Linked DNA regions of Rattus norvegicus. The protein of the gene in region 1 interacts with the protein of each later gene in a pairwise test. Links are inferred from orthologs where the notes say so. Each region holds a gene or a part of one and is shown in the gene's direction. Other genes may lie near its edges. The genes, in order: Edc3 and Anxa10.

Region 1 (12,803 bases):
AATCTGGACAGCATAGGTAAAACAGTTTATAAGCAGGGCAGTGGTGGACACACCTTTAAACCCAGCCCTCAGGAGGCTGAGGCAGGCAGATCTCTAAGTTTGAGCCAGCCTGATCTACAGAGTGAGTTCCAGGTCAGTGAAAACCTGTTTCGCCATGTACTATCTTGCTCTGCTAATATCCTAAATCTTAGAGTCCATGGGCAATTGACAGAAATGAGCATTCTAACTTCCTAATGCCCAGATTGAGATCCAAGGCTTCTTATGAAAATAATTGGCCACAAATCTTGGACAGAAGTATTAATAAAAGACAAGCCTGGAACGCTTAGCCATGCCAGATGGTAAAGATACTATGAAGACTCCAGGGATAGATTAAGTCACTCGAGACACTCTTAAACAAGTTTTAACTCCTGAAGATAAGGCAGTTTGACTATTGATAATAATTTCTATTGTGTAGACACATGCTTTTAATCTCAGAATGTAGGCAGAAGGATTTCTTTGAGTTTGAGTCTAGCTAGGGTTATATAGCAACAAAGTGACTAAAAATTTGTCCCCACAAATTAAAACCCTTCATGAGCTCATAAACATTTATAAATTTGTTTTTAGATTTATTTTATGTGTATTGAATGTTTTTGCCTACACCATAAGCCTGCTGGTCCTCTCAGTGGTCAAAAGAGAGACCCTCCCTACCTGGAACAGGAGTTATGGACAGTTGTGGGAAAGCAATGCTTTTAACTTCTGAGCCTGAGCCATCTCCCCAGCTTCTCTTCTCTCTCTCTCTCTCTCTCTCTCTCTCTCTCTCTCTCTCTCTCTCTCTCTCTCTTTCCTTCTCCATCTTCTCTATCTTTTTTGCTAGCTCTCAGGAAATACTTCCCATAAGATTTAATCATGCTTAGTGGTGGCACATGCCTTTAATACCAGCATTTGAGAGAGAGAGGCCAGCTGATCTACAGAGCAAGTTCCAGAGAAGGAAAGAAAGAAAGAGGTTTCACCTCAACAATGTTTTTCTTTTCTTAAGTACCACTAATTTCTCAACTCCAGTCAAACAGTATTGAGAATCCCAGGAAAGCAAAAGTTTCACTTTTGTAGTTCTTGTTAACCACAGCCATTTCTTCAGCCCCACTTAACCAGAACCATAGAATCAAAGTAACAAATGGCCCAGATAGTCTTTAAATTTTTCCCTGAAACTTCACAAGCCAGGCAATCTGCACTGCTCTCAACATTCTTATCTTCCAATCTCCTACAGAAGAGCCCACTGAACTCTCGTGGCTTTTCCAGTTCAAAGTTCCAAAGTCCTTCTGAAACATGATCTGGCCTGTCACTATACCCTACTCCTAGTACCAATTTATCTTAGTTTGGATTTCTATTGGTGTGATGAAACACCATGACCAAATACCAATTTGGGGAGGAAAGGGTTTATTCAGCTTACACACTCATATTAGTATTCACCATGAAAGGATCTTGAAGTCAGAAGCTGGTACAGGGACCACTGAGGAGTGTTTGTTACTGGGTTGCTCTCCATGCTTGCTCAGTCTTTTTTTTCTCATTGAACCCAGGACTGCCAGCCCAGGGAGGGCCCCACCCACAATAGCCTAGGTCCTCCCTATCAGTCACAAGTTAAGAGAAATGCTTTACAGGCTTTCTTACAGCCAGATCTTACAGAGGCATTTTTCTCAATAGAGGTCCCCTCTTTTCAGATAACTCTAGCTTGTGTCAAGTTGACAAAGTAGCCAGCATATTTTCCTTTCTTTCTCTCCTCTCTCTTTCTTCTTTCTTACTTCATTCAGATTTCACACATAGAAAACATCTGGCTTAATTTAGCGGTCTTGCCCATCAACCCTTAACAATCCAACCACTCAAATTTCCCGGGAGCCCCGCCCCTTGGCTCCTCCCAGTGTCAACGGAAGTGACATCATTCGCGTTGGCCCAGACGCAGGGGCGTTTCCGGCGGAGGTGGTGGCTGCTCCTGTGTCTGTGGAGGTGGGCGTGAAGCCCCTCGGCGGTGTTTTGGTGAGTGAGGACGTCTTGGTGTGCTGTGCAGCGCAGGCGGGGGCAGGCGGCCAGACAGTGAACTTGAGGGAGGCCGCGTGTTCGTGGGTGCTCGTTGGCTGGCGCTTCCGGGTGGTCAGCTCGGTTTGCTTTTTAGGCTGCGGGCTTCCAGGCCTTGTAGATTTTTATACTGGCGGACAGAAACTGCGGTGTGTATGTGTGTGCTTTTTAGGCTGCGGGCTTCCAGGCCTTGTAGATCTTTATACTGGCGGGCAGAAACTGCGGGGTGTATGTGTGTGTGTGCGCGCGCGCGCGTGCGTGCTCATGAAGAGTGTGTGTGTGTGTGTGTGTGTGTGTGCGCGCGCGTCCCCGCAGGAACTGGTGGGGGTGGGCGCGTGGGCCCGTGGGCGCATGTGGAGTACTCACTGAGTTAGGTGTAGCCCAAGGATTCGTGTTGGAGGCGGGAGGTAGAGAGATTGGACGTGATAACGGCTTGGACTGTCTCAGGCCAGCTTTGGTTGTCACTGTGGTTCTCACAGCTCTTTGCCTTCATTTCCTTTGACTAAAAGGTTAATAGCCAGTCGTGCGAGTGCCGCATGGTGGCTAATAACTTGTCACGGGACTGGGATGTGGAAATAGAGATACTGATGCCCTGCCAGTGCACACACTTAACTTCCCTCGATGCACTGCTGTGGTTGCCCTTTCTGTGCTGTGACTGTAGTTATTAGTGATACTTGATCTGTGGTTTGAGTGTTGGGGTGTGTTGGGGTGTGTTGGAGGAATAGCCCTCATCAGCGTAAGTAATTGATTTTCAGTGTCCTGATTGCAGAGTTAAGAGGAACTTTAGTCTTTCCACAATATAAATGACTATCCTTGGAGCCCTCAGGTGGTACCCAGTTTTTTGTTTTTGTTTTTGTTTTTTTTTTCTCCGGAGCTGGGGACCGGACCCAGGGCCTTGCGCTTGCTAGGCAAACGCTCTACCACTGAGCTAAATCCCCACCCCCCCACCTTTTTTTTTTTTTTTAAAGAGTGATCTATCAGTGTTTTGGGGCACAAAATTACTAGTTGTTGGTTTCTCTGAAGTAAAAGTAGTTGCAAAGAATGACCTTTTTTTGGTGACAGGCTCTCAAGCCAGAGCTACATAGTGAAGAGCCTGTTCAATTGTCTATGTAGATCAGACTGGCCTGGAACTCACAGCTATCCTCTGTCTCTGCCACCAGAATGCTGGGATTAAAGGCTTGATTTTTGACTACGAAGGATTATTGGTTTTGATGTCATGGAGACATTCGGCCACTTGGGTCCCTGTTACTCAGTAATACTGCTGCTTTAGCCTCTGGAGTACTCAGATTATAGACATACACCAACACACCTGACTCTGCTTGTCAGTTTCTGATAAAGTCAAATGCAATTTCAACTCTGATTTTCTATGTAATATTAACCAGAGCACATGTAAAAATGTTACTTAAAATGGAACTCAGAACTTGAAATAATTCAACTGTGTATAATAGGCTGGCTAAATTCATTGATGCTTAAACAAGATGGTACAGACATGGTAATTAACTTCTCCCAAATGCTAACAGCTGAATTTCACACTTGTACTATTGATTAAAGGAAACCAGACACATGAATCTGCGTGATTCTACTTTTGTGAAGTTTGAAAACAGCATAAATTTGTCTTTCATGATGTCAGAATAGCAGAGACACAGTGAGCCCTTTGTGATGTTTAGGTCGCAGCTCCGTTGGGGATTACTGTGAACATTTTTGAGCACAAGATGTCATGGTGTGTCCCTGTAATCACAGTACTCAGGAGGCTAAGGCAGGGGGATCTTGAGTTGAGCTTGTCTGGGTTACATAGTGAGTTCATGTCTTGGGTTGTTGTTGGTTTGTTTTTTAATGTGGAGTGATATACTTTTATGTAGATTATAACTTGATGGAAAAGTACAAAATACAAAATAAAAGGCCTCAAGATTTGCCCTGTGCTAGATACGTAATTCAGTGACAGAGGTTATCTCGAAACTAGCACAAGCTCTGTATTTGATCTCCATCAAAACGCATGCATGAGCATGTACACACACACACACACAGGTCAGCCAGGCATAGTGACATTAATCCCAGTAGCCGGGAGATACAGGTAGGCAGATCTCTTGAATTTGAGGCAGACTGGTCTACATAATGAGTTCTAGGACAGCCAGAGCTAAACAGAAGACACCCCCCAAAAAAAGTTCTTTTGTAGCTCCTGTCTATCTTCCTGCTTCACAAGCCCTAGCTTTTTAAAAAAAAAAACAAAACCTTAGTAGTGTGTGGGTAAAGAAAAATGTTTTACTCTTTGTTGTTGTTGTTGTTGTTGTTTTCAGTGTTGGGGAATAGATCCAGAATTCATGCACACATTCTAGGAAAGCATTCTCCAACTGAGCTGTGTCCCCAGTCCTAGGAAATTTTGGCTTATGTTCTTTCCTCTGAGCCTGGTTTTTCTGTGTAGCTGTGAATAGCCTAGAGCTTGCTCTCTGGGACAGATTGGATTCAGACTTGCTGCAATCCTCCTGTTCCAGCCTTTCAGGTGCTGGGATTCCGGGCATGCACCACCACACCCAAGAGGTAGTTTATAGGATAACCCATTTGATTTAATTTTCAGTATTTCGTCAATGTATTTTATAGGGGAATTTCCAATGAAAATGGACAGTTGCACATCAGTATAGAAGCAAGTAAAAACTTGCATTTAACAACTAAAAGCCACATTTTCCTTTTTTCTTTTCTTTCTTTCTTTTTTTTTTAAATATGGACCAATTTACAAATTTGTGTGTCATCCTTGTGCAGGAACCTTGCTAATCTTCTCTGTATCGTTCCATTTTTAATATATGTGCTGCCAAAGCGAGCACAAAGCCACATTTTCTTAGTGCTAACATTTTGATTCAGTTAGCATGGTATAAATTTGAATGTAGAATATCAGGGCCTTAAAAATACATATTAACTGGAAAAACAAGAGCTGCTCTCCATTTTGTTAAATTTTAGTTGGTTTTTTTTGTTTGTTTGTTCTTTTTTTAGTTTTTATGACAGCTTTTTATAATGCTGTTATCTAAAGCAGGTGCCAAAATAAGATTATGGAGTATAAATGATAGAAAAGGAAATTGATGCTACCCTAACATAAAGTAGGCAAAAGCTGACAAGGAATGGAAACAAGTCTACAGTAGGTGCCTTTGTTGTTGTTTGTTTGTTTTTGAGATAGAGTTTCTTTGTGTAGACCAGGCTGGTCTCAAACTCCTGCCTCTGCTTCCTGAGTGGTGGGTGATGGTATTAAAGGTATGTGACACTACCGCCTGGCTAATAGGTGTCTTTTATAGATAGTAATTTAATTAATTAATTTATTTATTTATTTTGGAGCTGAGGACTGAACCCACTTTAATTTTATTTATAGTGACTTATTTAGTTAAAATTTTTATGTACAAAAGTTTACCCGAGTGTGTTCCTGTGCATCAGGTGTGTGCAGTGGCTGAGGAGGCCAGAAGAGGGCCTCAGATTCTCTGGAACTGGAGTCACCAGCACATGTGTGCTGGGAATGGAACCCGGATCCTCCAGAAGAGCAACCAGTGTTTAACTGCTGAGCTCTCTCTCCAGCCCCTTTTGTTCAGCCTTTTAATTTTTTTTAAAGTTTTGATGGTGCTAAAATTTAAACCTTGCTTGTGAGGTAAATAGCATTCCACTGCTTAGTCAAATACTTTGTCTCTCTTTGAAAGACGTTGCACTGTTACCTGCCCTGCCCTGGGCTCTGTAGACCAGGCTGGCCTCAAACTCACAGAGACCCACCTGCCTCTGCCTCCCGAGTGCTGGGTTTAAAGGACTGTGCCACCACCACCTGGTATCTACATGGTCTTTGCATACGTGTATCAATATTGCATATTAATATGCACATTCCTACTGATGGTTTTTGTTTTTTTAGATAGATTCGCACTGGGTAGTGTGAGCTACCTGGAACTTACTCTGTATACCAGCCTGGCCTCAACTTAGATCCACTTGCCTGTTTCCCGCCAGCCTCCCAACGTTGGGAATAAAGTTATTTTAAGCTGGGTGTGGTGGTACCTTTCACCCTAGCACTCAAGAGGCAGAGACGCATAAACCTCTGTATGGTTGAGATCTACATAGTAAGTTCTAGTTCCACCAGTTACACTGTAAGGCCTTGTCTCACAAAATAAAACAAATCCAAAACAAAGGTGTGTGCACTTACACCTCACTTCTTACCAAATGCTCGTCTTCTGTGTGTTTGTTTCCAGGCTTTATCACCTTAGTGGCAGAGTGTTATCAACAGCACTGAGCACAGAGCCTGACGTACTGGTTCTGCACGGAGCCTTCACATCCGACACGAGGCAATGGATTGGCTAGGCAGTATTGTGTCTATCAACTGTGGAGATAGCCTGGGCGTCTACCAGGGAAGAGTATCAGCAGTGGATCAGGTCAGCCAGACCATTTCTCTTACTCGGCCCTTCCATAATGGGGTGAAGTGTCTTGTACCAGAAGTCACCTTCCGGTAAGTGTCCTGACCGACGTCCTCCAAAATCCAGCCTGGTGGGTTAGGTGCTGGAGTCGAGGTGATTGACAGTATCTTCTTGCCTGGGCTGTTGGAGTTGAGTCTTGTCAGAAAGGAGAGTTCAGTCTTACAGGCCTTAGAGTTCTGTTGTTCCTCTCAGTGGAGACTGGTGTAATACAGTCATCATCCTGTACTATCTCTTGCCAGGCTTGCACAGGACTCAACTGCCAAATTCAGAAGTGCCCCTTTCTCTTTTTTTGTGGGGGGTGGGGAGTTTCAAAAATTGGGGCTTTTACGGGTTTTTTTTTTGTTTTTTTTGGTTTTTTTTTTTCTTTTCTTTTTCTTTTTTTTCGGAGCTGGGGACCGAACCCAGGGCCTTGCTCTTCCTAGGCAAGCACTCTACCACTGAGCTAAATACCCAACCCCACGTTTTTTTACTTAAACACCAAGACAAGATTGCAGTATGCAGCCCAGGCCAGCCTGGAACTCCCAGAATTCTGCTCGCCTCTGCTTCTCTAGCTATTTTAGATATGTTAAAGTAATCGTAATATATAGGCATAGAAAGTAGATATACAATAAAACATCTATTGTTATTGGACCATATAGAATCTTTTATATAATCTTTGGTATATATAGAACTTTACCACTTATAAAAGGTGGATGTGCTTACTTATTTTTACATAAAGAATGCAAGATTGAGTTGGCAGAGGTAGTGCATGCCTTTAATCCCAGTACTTGGGAGGCAGAGGCAGGCAGGTATCTATGAGTTCAAGGCTAGCTCAGTCTACAGAGAGAATTCCAGGACAGCCTGGACTAGACAGAGAAACCTATCTCAAAACAACAGCAAAAAAGAATTCAATTCTAACATGGCTGAATATTTGATACTGTAGTACACAGAGTATCCTCTTAATACTTTGATTTCATAGTTGTCAGAGGAATGTGGATTCATACATGTAGCTGAGCTCTAGATACTTTGTCTCCCGTCTGTCCCAGGTGGGTGGTCTAAAAGATACCTCAGATTGAAGACCTGCAGCTGAACACGTTTATTTACAGGTTTCTTCCTCGGGAGGCCTGGTCATATTATTGACACCTTTCACCAAAGTTAGACGTTTAAGACTTGGACTGGTGACATGGCTCAGCAAGAGAAAGTGCTTGCTCACAAGCCTAGCAGCCCGAGTGCAGTCCCCAGAACCAGCTCCAGCACATTTCCTCTGACTTCCATGTGCACACTGTGACACTCTGTCCCCTCCATCTATACCCTTCCCCCATGCAATGAATGAATGTAAAGAATCTTAAAAAATTAAAATTTCTCAATGTGAGAGACTGCATTAACTATGTAACACATGTGTGTCTGGTGCCTAGGTAGTCTAGAAGAGGGAGTGGGATTGCATGGAACAGGAATTACAGACAGCTATGTGTCCTCTAGAAGAGCAGCCAGCCTTCTTTTTTTTTTTTTTTTTTTTTGGTTCTTTTTTTTTCGGAGCTGGGGACCGAACCCAGGGCCTTGCGCTTCCTAGGTAAGCGCTCTACCACTGAGCTAAGTCCCCAGCCCCTGCAGCCAGCCTTCTTAACCTTTGAACCATCTCTTCAACCCAAGGGAAACATTTTTTTTTTCCTTTTCTTTTTTTTTTTTTTGGAGCTGGGGACCGAACCCAGGGCCTTGCGGTTGCTAGGCAAGTGCTCTACCACTGAGCTAAATCCCCAACCCAAGGGAAACATTTTTTAAAACAGGGTCTCAAAAGTATAACCTTGCCTGACCTGAAACACACTCTGTAGACCAGGCTGGCCTTGGACTCACAGAGATCCGTTAGCTTGTGCCACCATGTCCAGGGTCCAAGAAAACAAAACCTTAAAAAGGAAATTTAAGAATCATAATGAACGGGGTTGGGGATTTAGCTCAGTGGTAGAGCGCTTGCCTAGCAAGCACAAGGCCCTGGGTTCGATCCCCAGCTCCGAAAAAAAGAAAAGAAAAGAAAAAAAAAGAATCATAATAAACTTTTTCCCAAATATGATGATCTAGAGAGTACTCTTAGAGTTTCAAAGAAAATCCCCATCAGGAGCTGTCCAGCACAGAAAAGCCAAAAACAGGTGGAAGAGCGACTGTATCATCCTGGCTGCCTTGTAACTCTATGTAAACCATGCTGCCTTCAAATGGTGATGATTGGAGGTGGCGATCCTGCCTTTGTCTCCTAAATGTAGGATTCTGGGCAAGAGCTGCAATGCCCTGTTGGTTCCTTCCTCTTTCCTGTTGCCATGGAAAAGTCTATTGTGCTTATGATTATCACCTTACCTTCCCGATAGCCTTCCACAAGCATTTCTCCTTATGTACTACCGTAGAGAACATTTGCAGTTCTTCCTGTGGACAGTGCCAGATTTTCTTAGTCTCTGACTCTCTGGGTGAGATGTCTTTCACCCTAGCGTCCTCTGCATGTGTCTTTTCCAGTGCGCAGACTGAGTCCCTTAAAGGAAGTACTGTGTCTCTGTGTAGCTTGCTCATAACCAGGGCTCACCACATAGTAAGGGCATTGTATGTTGAAAAGCAAATGGGTGAAAGAATTTAAGAAAGCTACTAGCATTCTGGAAATCTAAGGAGGCTATAGAGCTGTTCTTAACAACTGGGTCTCTAAAGTAGTGTATGAGTTGCAAGTTGGTGGCTGGGCATGGTCTGTAGATGTCCTGCTACCTTTCTTAATTTCACTTCTGTTAACCCTGAGTTACTGCAGTTTTGCAGAGTGCAGTTTCTTCCTTAACCCCAGTTTCATCTCTACCACTTTCCTATTGCTACTATAATTTTGAGACTTGGACTTTTGTGTGTTTCAGGGCAGGTGATATTACAGAATTAAAAATCTTGGAGATACCAGGTCCTGGAGACAACCAGCAGTTTGGAGACCTTCATCAGACAGAATTAGGCCCTTCTGGTGTTGGGTACCAAATGAGTATCAATCAGAATGGAACAGGCAAGGTGGTCAAGAAGCCAGCCTCTTCCAGTAGTGCCCCTCAGAGCATCCCTAAGAGGACAGATATGAAGAGCCAGGACGTTGCCATTTCTCCTCAGCAGCAGCAGTGCTCAAAGAGTTATGTGGACAGGCACATGGAGTCTTTGAGTCAGTCCAAGAGCTTCCGTCGTCGGCACAACTCCTGTAAGTACAGTCAAGGTGCTGTCTTTTGTAACCTGGTGTTTCAGGCTGTAAACACTTACCTACTGTTGCTCCTTCCATGAGTCCGTGATTCCTCATACAAAGGGTTTCATGGAGATACAGTGTGTTTCTGCCATTCTAGGGCCAGTCCCTCAAGATACCAAGGAAAAGGAAATGACTTATTAGAGGTTCACCCAAGCTTCTTGCCCACTTTGTCACTTTTCTCCCTTCAGGAAAGGTCTTGGATCTGCACCATATTCATGTTTTAAATCTCATAACTGTTGGGGTTGTGATACCTGATTGACTCTACTTGGGGTATTCCAGCTAATTTCTTGAGTAGACTTTTACTTAGAGAGGAGGGGCTAGTGTAGGCATTGCTGTTACCTTTCATTTCTAACAAGCTGATTGGTTTGTTTGTTTGTTTGCTTTGTTTGTTGAGGTACTGTGGACTGAACCCAGAGCTTTGCATATCTGGCAAGCATTCGGCCACCAAACACTTAACCCTAGCCTTAATTGAGTATTTTACTTTTATTTTTTTTATGTCCCCACTAAAGGCGATTAAGGAAAGCACTTACTGGTATATATTACTCTCTGGTCTTGCTTGCTAGTAACAGATATAGAACCATAGATGGGTCACTAAAACCTGTAATGTTTTTAAACGTGTACTAGAGTAATGTAATTTTGAGATATAACAGATTTGTTCACATCTGTTATGTTCCTTAAATACATATGAATGGTCTTTTTAAAATTACTTCTAGGAAGGCTGGATAATCAGCCTGTTGGTTAAGAGCACTTGTTTTTGTAGAAGACCCCATTTTAATTCCCAGCATGCAAATGGGAAGTTTACAACTCTGTAACTCTAATCCCAGGAGAATCTGATACTGTGTCCTGATTTCCAAAGGCACTAAGCAAACATGTGCTAATATATGTATATGTAGGCAAAACATATAAAGTAATAAAATAGGACAATTTTAAAAATTACTTCTAGGACTGGAGAGAAAGCTCAGTAGTTAAGAGCAGTTTGGCTGTTTTTACAGAGGACCTAAATTCAATTCTCAGCACATAACTGCCTGTAACTCGAGCTCCGAAGGTTCTCTTCTGTCTTTTGGATACCTGTATATATTTATAGACACACAGACACATACATATAAATAAAAATAAATATTTAAAAATGGGTTTGGAGGGGTTGAGGATTTAGTTCAGTGGTAGAGTGCTTGCCTAGGAAGCGCAAGGCCCTGGGTTCGGTCCCCAGCTCCGAAAAAAAGAACCAAAAAAAAAAAAAAAAAAAAAGGGTCTGGAGAGGTGGCTCAGCAGTTAAGAGCACTGACTGCTTTTTTTGAGGTCTGAGTTCAGTTCCCAGCAACCACATGGTGGCTCAAAACCATCTGTAAAGGGATCTGATGCTCCCTTCTAGTGTCTGAAAAGAGCAACAGTGTACTCATATACATAAAATAAATAAATAATTCTTTTTAAAAAAAGTTTAAAAGAAAAGTACTTCTAAATAGTAAACTATCTTAGGGTTACTGTTGTTACAATGTAACACCATGACCAAAGCAACTGAGAGGAAAGGGTTTATTCAGTGTACACATCTACATGATAGCTCATAATTAAGGAAGTCAGGACAGGAACTTAAACAGGGAGGCAGGAGCGGATGCAGGAGCCACAGAGGAATGCTGCTAACTGGCTTGCTCCTCATGGCTTGCTCAGCCTGTCCTCCCATACAGCCCTGGACCACCAGCCCAGGGGATGACACGACCCACAATGGGCTGATTCCCATTCCCACCCCCCCAATCAATTATTAACTTAAGAAAATGGGCTATAGGCTTGTCCACAGCCAGATCCCATGGAGGCATTTCCCCAATTGAGGTTCCCTTCTCTCAGGTGACTCCAGCCTGTGTCAGGTTTACTATCCAGCACACTATTCTTACTTTTCTTACATTTTATACCTAGAAGTAGTAGCAAATATATTAGGAATTTTAAGTGTGTTTTCGTTGATACATGTAAAACTCAAACTAGAGTCATACTAAAATAAAGCCAAGGCATTTCCTACTAAAAGGCAGAATTTAGAATGAGCTGTTTTCTAGAGCCCACATAGGAGTGGGAGAGTTGATTACAAAAGGTTCCAGATGCCACTTACTGTCCTTTTGGCTCCTTGTTATTGTCCCAGTGACCGTCATAAGATTTTGGTGTGCTCTTCAGTTCCAACTTGTGATGTGACATTTGTGTCAAGCCTGACATTTAAGTTTTAGAAATTCCAACTTTGGGCTGAAGCAATGGCTCAGCAGGTTAGAGCACTGGCTGGTCTCCTGAGGACCTGGCTTCAATTCCCAGTACCCACAAGGTAACTCACACCAGTCTCTAGGATCTGACACCCTCACACAGACAGACACACAACAGTCTCCAGGATCTGATACCCTCACATAGACAGACACACATGCAAACGAACACCAGGGCACATAAAGTAAAAATAAATAACTAAAAATAAAGCAAGCAAAGAGAAGAAAAAGAAATGCCTACTTTAAGTGAAAAAAACAATAAAAAGGGTATTTCTAGGGCTGGAGAGATGGCCCAGCAGTTAAGAGCACTGACCGCTCTTCCAAAGGTCCTGAGTTCAATTCCCAACAACCACGTGGTGGCTCACAACCATTTATAAATGAGATCTGGTGCCCTCTTCTGGTGTGTCTGAAGACAGCTATAGTGTACCCACATATATTAAATACATAAACAACCGCCACCCCCATTTAAAAAGGGGGGGGGTGTTTCTAGACATTTTAAATTCCTGTAAAGCAACTGTATTACTGAGTGACGGCCTAAAACAGAAGACTGACATGCATGCAGTAGTACTTGCGTGTCCTAAGAAACACTTTAATGCTTGGGTAGAGAATGACTCAGTCCACTTAGACTTTAGTCTTTTTTTGAATGAGGTGCATATTTTATTCAGGTGCCCTTGTTTTACCCTAATGTCTTAGATCTTTTTTTTTTTTTTTTGGTTCTTTTTTTCGGAGCTGGGGACCGAACCCAGGGCCTTGCGCTTCCTAGGCAAACGCTCTACCACTGAGCTAAATCCCCAACCCCAATGTCTTAGATCTTATTCAGCATGTTTCGTTTAGAAATTACTAATCTTTAACTGACTGTATTTGTCTGTCTATTTATTTTGGGAT
Region 2 (12,353 bases), on another chromosome or scaffold:
TGTCTCTGGTCAGAGACAGGATAAGTTAATTAGCCTCACCTTTACTTTCTTGGAAGCTGAAGAATCCCTACAACAGCCAGCCTTGTCTCCCATGCAGTTCTAGTCAATGTTATTTCACTATAACCTTTGTCGTTGTAATGACCTTGTGATGGTCATAAACATCATTGTTCAAGCTTCAACACCATTTCCTGAGCCAAATAAGAATCAGGTAACAAAATTGAGGTTCTATTCATGCAATGTAGGAGTTGAGACAAATTCAGGACAACTAAATCTAATATTATCTCCACCATGCACATACATAGATAACACACACACACACACACACACACACACACACACACCTTTGTCCACCTTCCAATGTCACTGGGTCCACTGACATGGAAACTCCCTGACAGGAAAAAGACAGTGATCCTTAATGTTCTATCATAATTAGTAATCTCTCCCTCCATACTTTGACTCAAAACCTGAAATACACTCTGCCATCTCTCTCCTCTTGCTGGATCATGGAGACTGTTGGGTCTTACATTGATTGGTCTTCCTTTCTTCTGTGTCAAATGTCAAATGAACTCTCTGATGTTTATAGCATAAGGAATGGAGAAAAGTCCCATTTGCAAAGCCTAGATTTCATCATGATTTTGTTGTTGCATAAACCATGTTTTACAAAGAAGACATGACTATGCATGCATCATTTCACTAAGTGTAAACCCATTACTACCACATCACACAAGAGGTGGACCATCACCCTGATCGGAACACAGAGAGGTGAAAAGTGGAAAACATCTCAGCATTTTTTTCACTATGTACCTCTGTTGGGAAGAAAAGCTCAAAATTAAACTCCTTTCAAAACTGCATAACATTTCCTCAGGTTTTGAAATATCCAAATAATACGACAGATTGATAAAGAATCACTAGTGTTTGATGATTGGGGGATCTTTGTCCCAAGAACCCTGTATCGTGTATTGAAAGCATCTAAAAGAAGATCCCTGCTTATTTCACAGGGAAACAGGGAGGAAGGCTACACTGACCCTGCAATGGCTGCTCAGGATGCAATGGTAACTGGATGTCACTCCCCACTAACTAAGAGAGCTCTTGGTAAAGTGAGGCTTGTCCAATGCTCCTTCCTGGCTGTGTGATGTTGCAGGTGCTGTGGGAAGCCTGCCAGCAGAAGACTGGGGAACATAAAACCATGCTGCAGATGATCCTGTGCAACAAGAGCTACCCACAACTTTGGCTGAGTAACTAGAAACAGGCTCTTTCCAACTCTTTAACCAATTGAATGACATACAAGTAGCTAGGATCAAAGAGGAAATGTCACCCAGAAATGTAGAAAAGCCAGTTACTGCTCCGAATTATGTCTGTACAGCATGTTGCATTTAATGATACTGCAATGGGATAAAGTTCTGACATCGTTTAATTTCTTTCCTCTAGCTAAATTCCATAGCTTTCAAATACTGACATTTAAAAGCTACTTATTTGGATGCATTATCTCTTTCCTAATAGGCACACTACATTGTGTCTGAACAGTCTCCAGCAAGCTTACTGTTTCTGTGTTACAGACAACATGAGATATCAGTAGTGCCTATTGATCTCCAAGATGTGCTCACATTAACCTATACTTGACTTTCTTCAGATTCTACAACCTTTCCTTTTCCCTTCTTAGAAAAACAAAGTACAATTAAATGAAACATAAAGGCCTATCAATGTTTTAGCAACAGTCTACTCTAGTTCAACTGTGCCTCTTTTACTTTGTGTCAGTTAAAGATTAGTACTAATGATAGTAGCACTTTATATAGAAGTAAATAGCTGAGAAGTAAAACATTGCCAAGGATAAAGCCAGCTGAGTACATTCTTTAAAGAGGGAAGTTTCATTCAACATCATTTTATGTTAGTAATAAAGTCACTAATGGTAATCTATTTCTCAAATGAGCTCTTCCAATGCCTATCATCAATATCGCTCAGAGTATTTTTGTATTTAACATTTATATTTAAGTCCTAACGGAAAGTTTGTGTGGACAAATAAACTTATACTGGTTATTATTTATGTTTTCTGGAGATGCCTCATAGACAATAGTTCACACCGTGCTCTCCACCCATCTATCAATCAACACTTGAGTCATTGAGTCCAACTCAAGAAAACCATCATTCCCCAGCCCAGCAATAGTAGTTCTTTGGAGTCCAAGATTCATGCAAGTTTTAGCATTTCATGGGATCTATACTAGTTGCTAAGAGTAGATACATCATCACGATGGATATTAGGACCGAGAAATACTTCAGAGAACATACTTACCTTTGCTATGTATAGTAATCTCATTGGTATTTGTTTTAAGTTTATGAGATTTATGAAAATCCCATTCAAATCACATCAATTTCTTGAAGTTTTCCAGGAATTTCAAACTATTTCTGGCCAAGACCTGGTGGATACTATCAGTGACTGTTACGATGGTTACTTCCAGGAGCTACTGATTGCAATTGGTAAGCTGGATTTCATATGATGAACAGCCAACCTTGCCTTTCACAGCACTGAATGGCTCTGACTAGATTACCTGTGCATGAGTGGAAGCTTAATTGAAGCATTTTTCTCAGCACAGTTATTTGAAAGATCCCTAAACTCTAAGACAGTCAGTCAGCTAGTAGTTCAGTTCAATGAACTGGCAACCTGGAAACATTAATCAACTGGCATTATTTCCCCCCAAGAACGAGCTCAATTTCCATACGAGAAAAGGGAAATCTGGGATGCCTGGACTCATAAGTGACTTCTCATAACTTCAAGTCATTGACTTCCACCCCTGTTTCAGGAGCAGATAAATGCTAACAGTGTGACTGGTTTCTGTCTTCAAGAAGAACGGTGATTTTTTTTTTAAGTTTTTAAGTTTGATGGTTCTTTAAATTTTTACTATCTTTAATATATTTCCCTTTAGAAATAAATCTTGTCATCAAAGAAAGCCTAAATTATTAATTAGAAGTGAGATCTACAGGCATGCCTTCCCAGTGTTGTTAGAAATGTTATGCCCGTTACAGAAAAGACCAGGGCTCTTATTCATCAAAACTATTCAAGTGTTCACACTTTACCATATACTCTGTGACTTGGTTGCATGGACTGCAGAAAATGTACATTAAAAGTCATTGTGAAGTATCCTATAATAGGTCCATCAAATGAACACTTAGATATGTGCTGAATATTCAATTGTGAGTTTTCATTCCCAAGAATGTCTTGACATGGAGCTGAGATATCAGTCACAGCACTTTTACAAATGATCTAGTACGAGATTTTTAAGCAAACATCCTATAAAAAAGAGTAGGTGAATCCTATGAAACCCCTAAAGATATGTGATATGATGGCTTTTGTCTATGAATGTATAGATAGATAGATAGACAGACAGACAGACAGACAGACATATAGATAGATAGATGATACAGACAAATAGATGATTGATAGATGACAGATAGATAGACAGATAGACAGACAGATACATAGAGAGATAGATAGATTTCTTCAAATTCCAAATAAATATAACAGTTATATATCACATATCAGCGATAAGCAAAGAGTTAGACTAAAACTCATGTCATTGAAATCTCAAAGCAGCCCAAACTATTGTCAGAAAACAGTGGGCATAAGAGAACAGACAGCAGACATCAGTAATACCAGGAAATAGCGATCTGGCTCATTCCGTCAATCAACACTGAATGAGCAGCTTCTCATTTCTAACTTGGTTGATGTGGGTGGAACAGTGAGTCAACAAAGTTCGGAATACCAACACTCGCCTCTGTTCTCTGGGAGCCCACCTTCTAGAAATCACTTCTCAGGTTTCCTTGTCCCAGTAATAAAAATGAGATAAGGATGAAGAGATGGCCTCATGATCTAAAATAATTACTTGGACTGCACAGAAATACTAATGTGGATTTATTTTGAAGAGACATTATAGTTCCTCATCTATTATTCATTCATGTAATTAATCTATTAAATTTTCAAATAAGGGGCTTATTGATGGTCTACAGTCTCAACTGATATTTAACAGGGACAACTGTTGGACAGGTGTCAGTCTGCTCAGAGCCCTAACAATTGTAATCAAGTAATATCTAAAACTGGAGGAAACAGTTTACATTGTTACAGTTTCTCCTTAAATGACCTGAATTCTATTCATGAATCTTTAAGGGATCAAAGAGCTGCTGGTATAGACCAGTTTTAGAGGCTATCAGAATGGTTGTCAATCAGGAAGGTGAATGGATTGTATGTGTTTGATTTTATATTTGGCACCACATTTTTAAAAATTTAATAATAATGGCCATATGCTCAGAGACAATCATTTGTCATTACAAAATAAAATATTGATATGTTATACTTTTTGATAGAGTGTGGCTAGTGCTACCATTATTCTAAGTATTGAAACTATAATGCAACATGATGATTCTGGAACAATATGTAAGTGCTCAATTTCTTTCCCGACTTCCAAAGAATTACATCCTGTCACTCAAATTTTTCCTTGCTCTCTTCCTCTCTAGTTCGTTGTGTTCAGGACAAACCAAGCTACTTTGCTTATAAATTATACAGGGCAATCCATGTAAGTATAACACATACTTTTTTAACTTATTTAAAATTAATATCTACTATTTTTATTCCAAAGAAAATGTGTTCAAGTAAAAGGAAGCAAGTTAAACACCAAAAGTGAAATTCATTAAATGCAGATATTCTCTGCTTTCTACAACATGGGTACTTAAGACACCTGAGACTTAGCGTATATTGACCTCGTGCAGTTTAGAATCTTAATATTTTTTATTTATTTAAACTGATCATTCAAATGCACCATGACGGCAACAACAGCCTAATGCCTTCCCTGTGTATGACCTGGACAAATAATCATAGTTATTCTGATTCCAGCTGTGCCCTGATCCCAGCTGTGCCCTGATCCCAGCTGTGCCCTGATTCAGGGAACTTGGTCAGAATTTTGGTTGTTGTAATCTCCCCAAATTATGAAATGTTAGTAGATTTATACTCAAAAATATTCTGATATAAAGCATTAGATTACGTTGAGTGGCCACCAGATGTCACCATTGTTCCACTTGAAAGACGTTTGAAACTTCCGAGAAGGGAGGCCCCAGGCATCCCATAGCAGTGACAGCAATGTTTAAGTCCTGTGGACCCACAAGCAAATCGCTACTGAGAAGGAAGCCCTTCCATGCTGAACAGGTCTTAAAGTACTGTTTTCTCTACCCACATTTCTGCTGTTTTTAGGATTTTGGCTTCCATAACAAAACTGTCATCAGGATTCTAATCGCCAGAAGTGAAATAGATCTAATGACCATAAGGAAACGTTACAAGGAGAGATTCGGAAAATCCCTCTTTCATGATATCAAAGTAAGTCTTCTCTTCATAATTGAATTTACCTCACATATTATTCTTTCTGAGCCATAAATAAAAGTTTCAATTGAAACAACTTGCTGTGGGTATCTAAAAAGCTACATGTCTCACAAGGCGGTTGACTCGAAGAGCTTACACAGCGTTCAGTGCTTTAAACAAACATCAACCTGGAAAGTCATTGCACCACAGAAAATTATATAAAATATTCCCTTCCTATGACTGTGGTTCCAGGGTTCCCTTCTGATGTGAAAAGCACAGGACCAGCTGGGTGTGGCAGTTTGCCTGTGATTTCACCTGCAACCCCCACACTAGATCTACTGAGGTTGCAATAGGAGAATCGACACTTCAAGGTCCCCCTCAGCTCCAAAGCAACTTAGAGACTAGGATCCACTTCTTGAACCCTCTCAAAACACAAGCAAGCAGACAAGCAAACAAACAAGCAAACAAACAAACAAAAACAAAAAAAAAACAGTATTTTGCTACGGGAATGTATTAACTGCTGCCCAGCACCACTCCTCAAAGCCTCATAGAAAACAAGGCAGCCAGTCAAATAGCATCAACTACCAATTTGGAGAAATTTATTACTGAATACATAAAACTCTACATGACCAAACACTTCACCAATCAGAGGGCAAGGAAATAATTCAAAAACGAACAAGCCAATTTCTTATTCTGGTCTCCCTAAAACATTTTAAATGTCTTATATAACTTGGCAAAAAAATGAAATATATGGTCCATCCATGTAATCTGTGGGTGCAGTATAAAATCATTATGTTTAGTTTCTTCAGCAAAGAAAACCAAAATGGTTTTCAGGATGGAGAGAATAGAGCAGGAGAACAGACGCCATACTTGAGACTGTGTCTTAATTTATACCTTGTAAATTCACATTGTTTTCAAGTGAAACTCCCAGTCCAAGCAAAAACAGTTCAGTTCCTTGTATTATTCAAGACATAACTCCCAGCACCTCAGAGATTGAAGCCATAAATTCCAGAGTGCTTTCGTAGCCTTTGTAGGAGCCAAAATGGCTCTAAGAAATTGATGTATCAGTTAAAATCAACTTTATGGTTTTTTAAATCTTTGATAAAATAGTTTATTACGCCTTTCTCGAAAACCTAAAGCTGTTAGTGGTGATCAACTCGTACCACTGAGTCAGAACTCAATTTCTAAGTGAATAAGCTAGCTTGTTTATGCTTTGTAATTATTTCTAACCATATTGAAGACAAGTTAAAATAACGCGTTGCTAATCTGTGAGTCTTAATTACACAGCCTTATGTAAAGGAGCATTAATACAATAAATGGTTTTTATGAAGATGGATTCTATAATGACATTCGTTCAGCTACCTATTCTGGAATCTTTAGACCTGATGGAAGAAGATAAAAAGAAACAAAGTTGCCCTGGTTTTCTACTACCGACACCTGGGAGTGAGATACCTAGAAAGGTCCTGCTGTGGCTGGAAAGCTTGTTTCTCCAGATTCCTACACTGAAACCCTAGCCCTAGGAGATTGGCATCTGAGAGGTGCTAGGAGATGGGCATGTGAGAGTAGTCATGAAGATAGAGTCCACAAGTAGGGCTAGTCTCCTTGTTGGGAAGACGAAGCTCCAGGATGCTCCTTTGACCCTCCTGCCATGTCAGGCTGGAGTCAATAAAGAAGTATTCACATAACGCTTTGTCACCTAGATTTCCCATCTGCCCTAACTTAGACACCTCGATGGCGAAAGCCCCAGTAGACTAAGGTGGATCTTTTTTCACACAAACATAAACAATAACATTTTGCTAGCAAAAGAAAGGATTTTATGAAAACAAGACATCCTCTTTATAAAGTACGTTGTGAAATAGAAAAAACTGTCTCACATGATTGAATGCCTTTCATTGTTATACGTAACATTAAAGGGCAGATGTTGCTAGCATAAATCTCGTACTCATCCATAATTGATGATATTTTAAATGTATTTCTTGATATAGGATTTACTGAATTAAACAGTATAAATATTTTCAAATCTTTTGAGACACATTGGCAGTGTCCAGAATCTACACTGATTTACTATAGTAGTGACATTAGCGTGTCAATTCCTAAAGCTGAAGAAAAGATTCACTGTAAAACATGTTATTGTGCTCATAAATATACATTAAACTTTCATCAGCTCTATACAAAGCATATCGTTTCAACTATAGCACAGCACTATTTTAATGTTTCACTTCGAATACTACTTAGAAAATCTTTAGACAAAAAATAGTTTTAGTGAAGGCTAATGGTCCATGAATCTTTTATATTGCAATTATAAAATGTACAGTTGACTTTTAGAAGCAGGGAGAGATTTGAGTTTTACGTGCCTTTATTTTTTTCTTTTCAGAGTTTTGCTTCAGGGCACTATAAGAAAGCATTGCTTGCCATCTGCGCCGGTGATGTGGAAGACTATTAAAAAGAGGGAGGGTTTGAAGATGATGGAATCCTCTTTATAGACACCAGATATAGACGGCTGAACGTGTGCTGTCATTGACACTGAAACAAAACTATAAAATCATATCTTCTTATATCTCTACAATTATTCTGAGACAAAAATAAATCTACTATTGAAAATATGTAATCCTGGATTTGTAGCCCTTATTCAATTAGTAACTAATTAAACTGTATATGGTGGAATAAGAAAAGCATTGCATTGGACTCGATTTTATTTAAATATGAACTGTCAATTCCTACAATAAGAAAGTCTGTTCATAACTGTCTTAATATCAGTTTGGAATCTATAACATTGAAGCATCTGACCACTTTCAGTGTGAACACCCTCCATGTGTGACAACTCTCAATGTGTGTCCACCGTCAGTGTGCGTCCACCGTCAGTGTGTCCACTCTCAGTGTGTGACCATCCTCAAAGGAGTTTTCTGGACTCAGGCTATCCCACCATCAATGGAAGAGTGCTCCTCTTTCTCCACATCCTTGCCAACATGTGCTGTCACCTGAGGTTTTGATCTTAGCCATTCTGACTGGTGTGAGGTGGAATCTCAGGGTTGTTTTGATTTTCATTTCTCTGATCACTAAGAAATTTGAACATTTCTTTAGTGCTTCTCAGCCATTTGAGATTCCTCTATTGTGAATTCTCAGTTTACTTCTATACCTAATTTTTTGATTGAGTTGTTTGATTTTTTGGTTGTAAACTTCTTTAGTTCTTTATATATTTTGGATATTAACCCTCTATCAGATGTGGGATCAGTGAAAAAATTTTCCCAATCCGTAGGATGCCAATTTGTCCTTTGCCTTACAAAAGCTTTCCAGTTCCGTGAGGTCCCGTTTATCAATTCTTGATCTTAGAGTGTGAGCCATTGGAGTTCTGTTTAGGAAATTTTTGAATGTGACAATGAGTTCAAGGTTCTTTGCCACTTTCTCTTTTATTAGATTCAGTTAATCTGGTTTATGCTGATGTCCTTGATCGACTTAGACTTAAGCTTTGTGCATTGTAAAAAATACGAATCTATTTTTATTTTTCTACATGCAGACAGCCAGTTAGACCAGCACCATTTATTGAAGATGATTTCTTTTTTCCATTGTATATTTTTGGCTCCTTTGTCAAAGATCAAGTGTGCATAAGTGTACGGTTTTATATCTGGGTCTTCAATTCTATTGCATTGATCAACCTGTCTGTCTCTATTCCGGTACCATACAGTTTTTATCACTATTGCTCTGTAGTATAGCTTGAGGTCAGGGATGGTGATTCCCCCAGTCATTCTTTTATTATTAAGAATTATTTTCACTATTCTGATTTTTTTTTTGTTTTTCCATGTAAATTGAGAGTTGCTCTTTCCATGTCTTTGAAGAATTGTGTTGGAATATTGATGGAGACTGCATTGAATCTGCAGATTGATTTTGGTAGGATGGCCATTTTTAGTATGTTAATTCTACCAATCGATGAACTTGGGAGATCTCTCCATTTTCTGAGGTCTTCTTTGGCTTCCTTCTTGAAAAACTTAAAATTCTTGGCACACTGATCTTTCACTTGTTTAGTTAGTGTTACTCCAATACATTTTATATTATTACATCTCTTGTGAAGGGTGTTGTTTCCCTAATTTCTTTCTCAGCCCAGTTACATTTGTATAAAGGAAGGCTACTGATTTGTTGGAGTTAGTTTTATATCAGGCCACTTTGTGGAAGTTGTTTATCAGTGGTAGGTGTTCTCTGGTAGAATTTTGGGGGTTGCTTTTGCATATCATCATATCATCTGCAAATAGTGATACCTTGACTTTTTCTTTGTCAATTTGTGTCCCCTTGATCTCATTTTGCTGTCTTATTGCTCTGACTAGAACATCAAGTACTATACAGAATAATATGAGGAGATGTTGCTGTAAAATTATAAAAAAAAATGCTGTCTTTTACCCCCACTAGGTCCGGCACTGTAGTGCCCCAAGATATATAGTAGATATCTTCATCTCAGTCAGCAAAGCATCTCACCTGCTCTACTCTATCCCATATCACCAAAGGCTTCTCTCTGAGACTGGCAACAATCTCTCTACCTATCTAAGTTCCCATGCCAGAATTATACATCTCAATTCCATGGCAGTCCAGTGTCTCTAGCACCACAAATTCTCTTAAACGTAAATTGCCATAAGAAAGAACACACAGCACAATAACCTCTGATCCTATTGATAAGACATAATTGCCCACCTAAACATTAAAAGCCGTGTACACATCCATCCCTTTAGAATATTCATGCCCACAGCTCCCTTCTCCAAAAACCGTGGAAGAGAGAGCTCATCACCCAGACATGTGGGCAATCCTGAGACTGCAGGGCAGGAGAGACCGCCACATCTGCCCACTTTTGCCCACATCCCTGGCCCAAGAGGAATCTGTATAAGGCCTCTAGGCACAGGAAGATAGCGGCACTCAAGCTGCAGGAGCTCTGTGGTCCAGACTGCACCCAGATCTGAATTGACCAGGTCAAACAGCTCCTTGCACACAAATCTTGTGGGAGGGAGAGCTAGTCCATCAGAAGGACAGACTCACCTGGGAAACTAGAGGAGACTACTCTCTGCCCAAATTTCTGACTCTAGAGGAAAACACCTAGCACACAGAGACCCAGAGGTAGGGGCAGGCCCTTCAGGTTGCTACCCTCATGGAGAGCTGAAACCCAGCCCCAGGAGCAACTTCAGGCCTGAGACCAGAGATAAGACCAACGTTTCTGTCAAAAGTGACCTGCCTGGTAGACTCAGGACACATGTCCAAAGGAACAGCTGAAAGCCAGTGGACAGGAACAACTACACATCTGAGAACAGAACACTCTATTCCCATAATTGGCTAAAAGAAAACAGGAAAACAGGTCCACAGCACTCCTGACACACAGGACTATAGGAAGGTCAAGCCACTGTCAAAGCAAAACAAGGTAACACCAGAGACAACTTGATGGTGAAAGGCAAGTGAAGGAACCCAAGCAATAGAAAACAAGACTACGTGGCATCATAAAAGCCCAATTCTCCCACCAAAGCAAACACTGAATACCAAACAAACAAGAAAAGCAAGATCTAGATTTAAAATCACATTTGATCATGATGATGGAGGACATTAAGAAAGACATAAAGAACTCCCTTAGAGAACTGCAGGAAAATACAAGTAAACAAGTAGAAGCCCTTAGAGAGGAAACACAAAAATCATGGAAAGAATTACAGGAAAAGACAATCAAACAGGTGAAGGAATAGAAAATGGAAATAGAAACAATAAAGAAACAAAGGGAGACAACCCTGGATATAGAAAACCAAAGGAAGAGACAAGGAGCCATAGATACAAACATCACCAACAGAATGAAAAAGAGAGAATCTCAGGAGCAGAAGATTCCATAGAAATCATCGACATAACTGTCAATGATAATATAAAAGGGAAAAATCTACTGCTCCAAAACATACCGTAAATCCAGGACAGAATGAGAAGATCAAACCTAAGGATAATGAGTATAGAAGAGAGAGAAGACTCCCAACTCAAATGACCAGTAAAGATTTTCACCAAATCATGGAAGAAAACTTCCCTAACCTAAAGAAAGAGATGCCCATAAACATAAAAGAAGCCTACAGAACTCCAAATAAATTGAACAAGAAAAGAAACTCCTCCCATCACGTAATAGTCAAAACAAAGAAATGCACAAAACAAAGAAAGAATATTAAAAGCAATAAGGGTGTAAGATAAAGTAACATATAAAGGCAGACTTATCAGAATTACACCAGACTCCTCAGCAGAGACTATAAAAGCCAGAAGATCCTGACAGATGTCATACAGACCCTAAGAGAACACAAATGCCAGACCAGGTTACTGTATCCAGCAAAACTCTCAATTAACATAGATGGAAAAACCAAGATATTACATGACAAAACCAAATTTACACAATATCTTTCTACAAAACCAGCCCTACAAAGGAAAATATATGGTAAAGCCCAAGACAAGGAGGCAAGCTACACCCGAGAAAAATCAAGAAACTAAATGTTTTGCAACAAAGCAAAGACAAGAAAGCACACAAACATAATCTTACCTCTAAATACAAAGATAACATGAAGCAAGAATTACTATTCCTTAATATCTCTCAACATCAATAGACTCAATTCCCCACTAAAAAGACACAGATTAACAAACTGGATGCATAATGAGGACCCAGAATTTTGCTGCCTACAGAAAACACACCTCAGAGACATAGACAGACACGACCTCAGAGTAAAAGGCTGAAAAACACCTTTCCAAGCAAATGGCCTGAAGAAGGAAGCTGGAGTAGCCAATCTGATATCGAATAAAATTGATTTTTCAACCAAAAGTCATCAAAAAAGATAAGGAAGGAAACTTCATATTCATCAAAGGAAAAAATCCACCAAGATGAACTCTCAATCCTAAATATCTATGCTCCAAATACAAGGGCACCTAAATAAGTAAACAAAACCTTACTAAAGCTCAAAGCACACATTGCACCTCACACAATAATAGTAGGAGACTTCAACACCCCACTCTCATCAATGGACAGATCATGGAA

What was found.
Region 2: the proteins of Edc3 (region 1) and Anxa10 interact in binary tests that used the Homo sapiens proteins (3 or more experiments, as listed by UniProt). The link is inferred for Rattus norvegicus from reciprocal best matches to the Homo sapiens genes EDC3 and ANXA10.

What each region holds. Positions count from the first base shown.
Region 1 is NC_086026.1:67,000,108-67,012,910, forward strand, and holds the start of Edc3 (enhancer of mRNA-decapping protein 3), read left to right. Parts: upstream 1-1,924; 5' UTR 1,925-2,007; intron 2,008-4,755; exon of another isoform or gene 4,756-4,862; intron 4,863-6,251; 5' UTR 6,252-6,347; coding exon 6,348-6,505; intron 6,506-9,325; coding exon 9,326-9,645; intron 9,646-12,803. UniProt on the Homo sapiens protein: Binds single-stranded RNA. Involved in the process of mRNA degradation and in the positive regulation of mRNA decapping. May play a role in spermiogenesis and oogenesis.
Region 2 is NC_086034.1:32,563,984-32,576,336, forward strand, and holds the end of Anxa10 (annexin A10), read left to right. Parts: intron 1-998; coding exon 999-1,052; intron 1,053-1,141; coding exon 1,142-1,235; intron 1,236-2,376; coding exon 2,377-2,472; intron 2,473-4,503; coding exon 4,504-4,562; intron 4,563-5,233; coding exon 5,234-5,356; intron 5,357-7,712; coding exon 7,713-7,781; 3' UTR 7,782-7,978; downstream 7,979-12,353.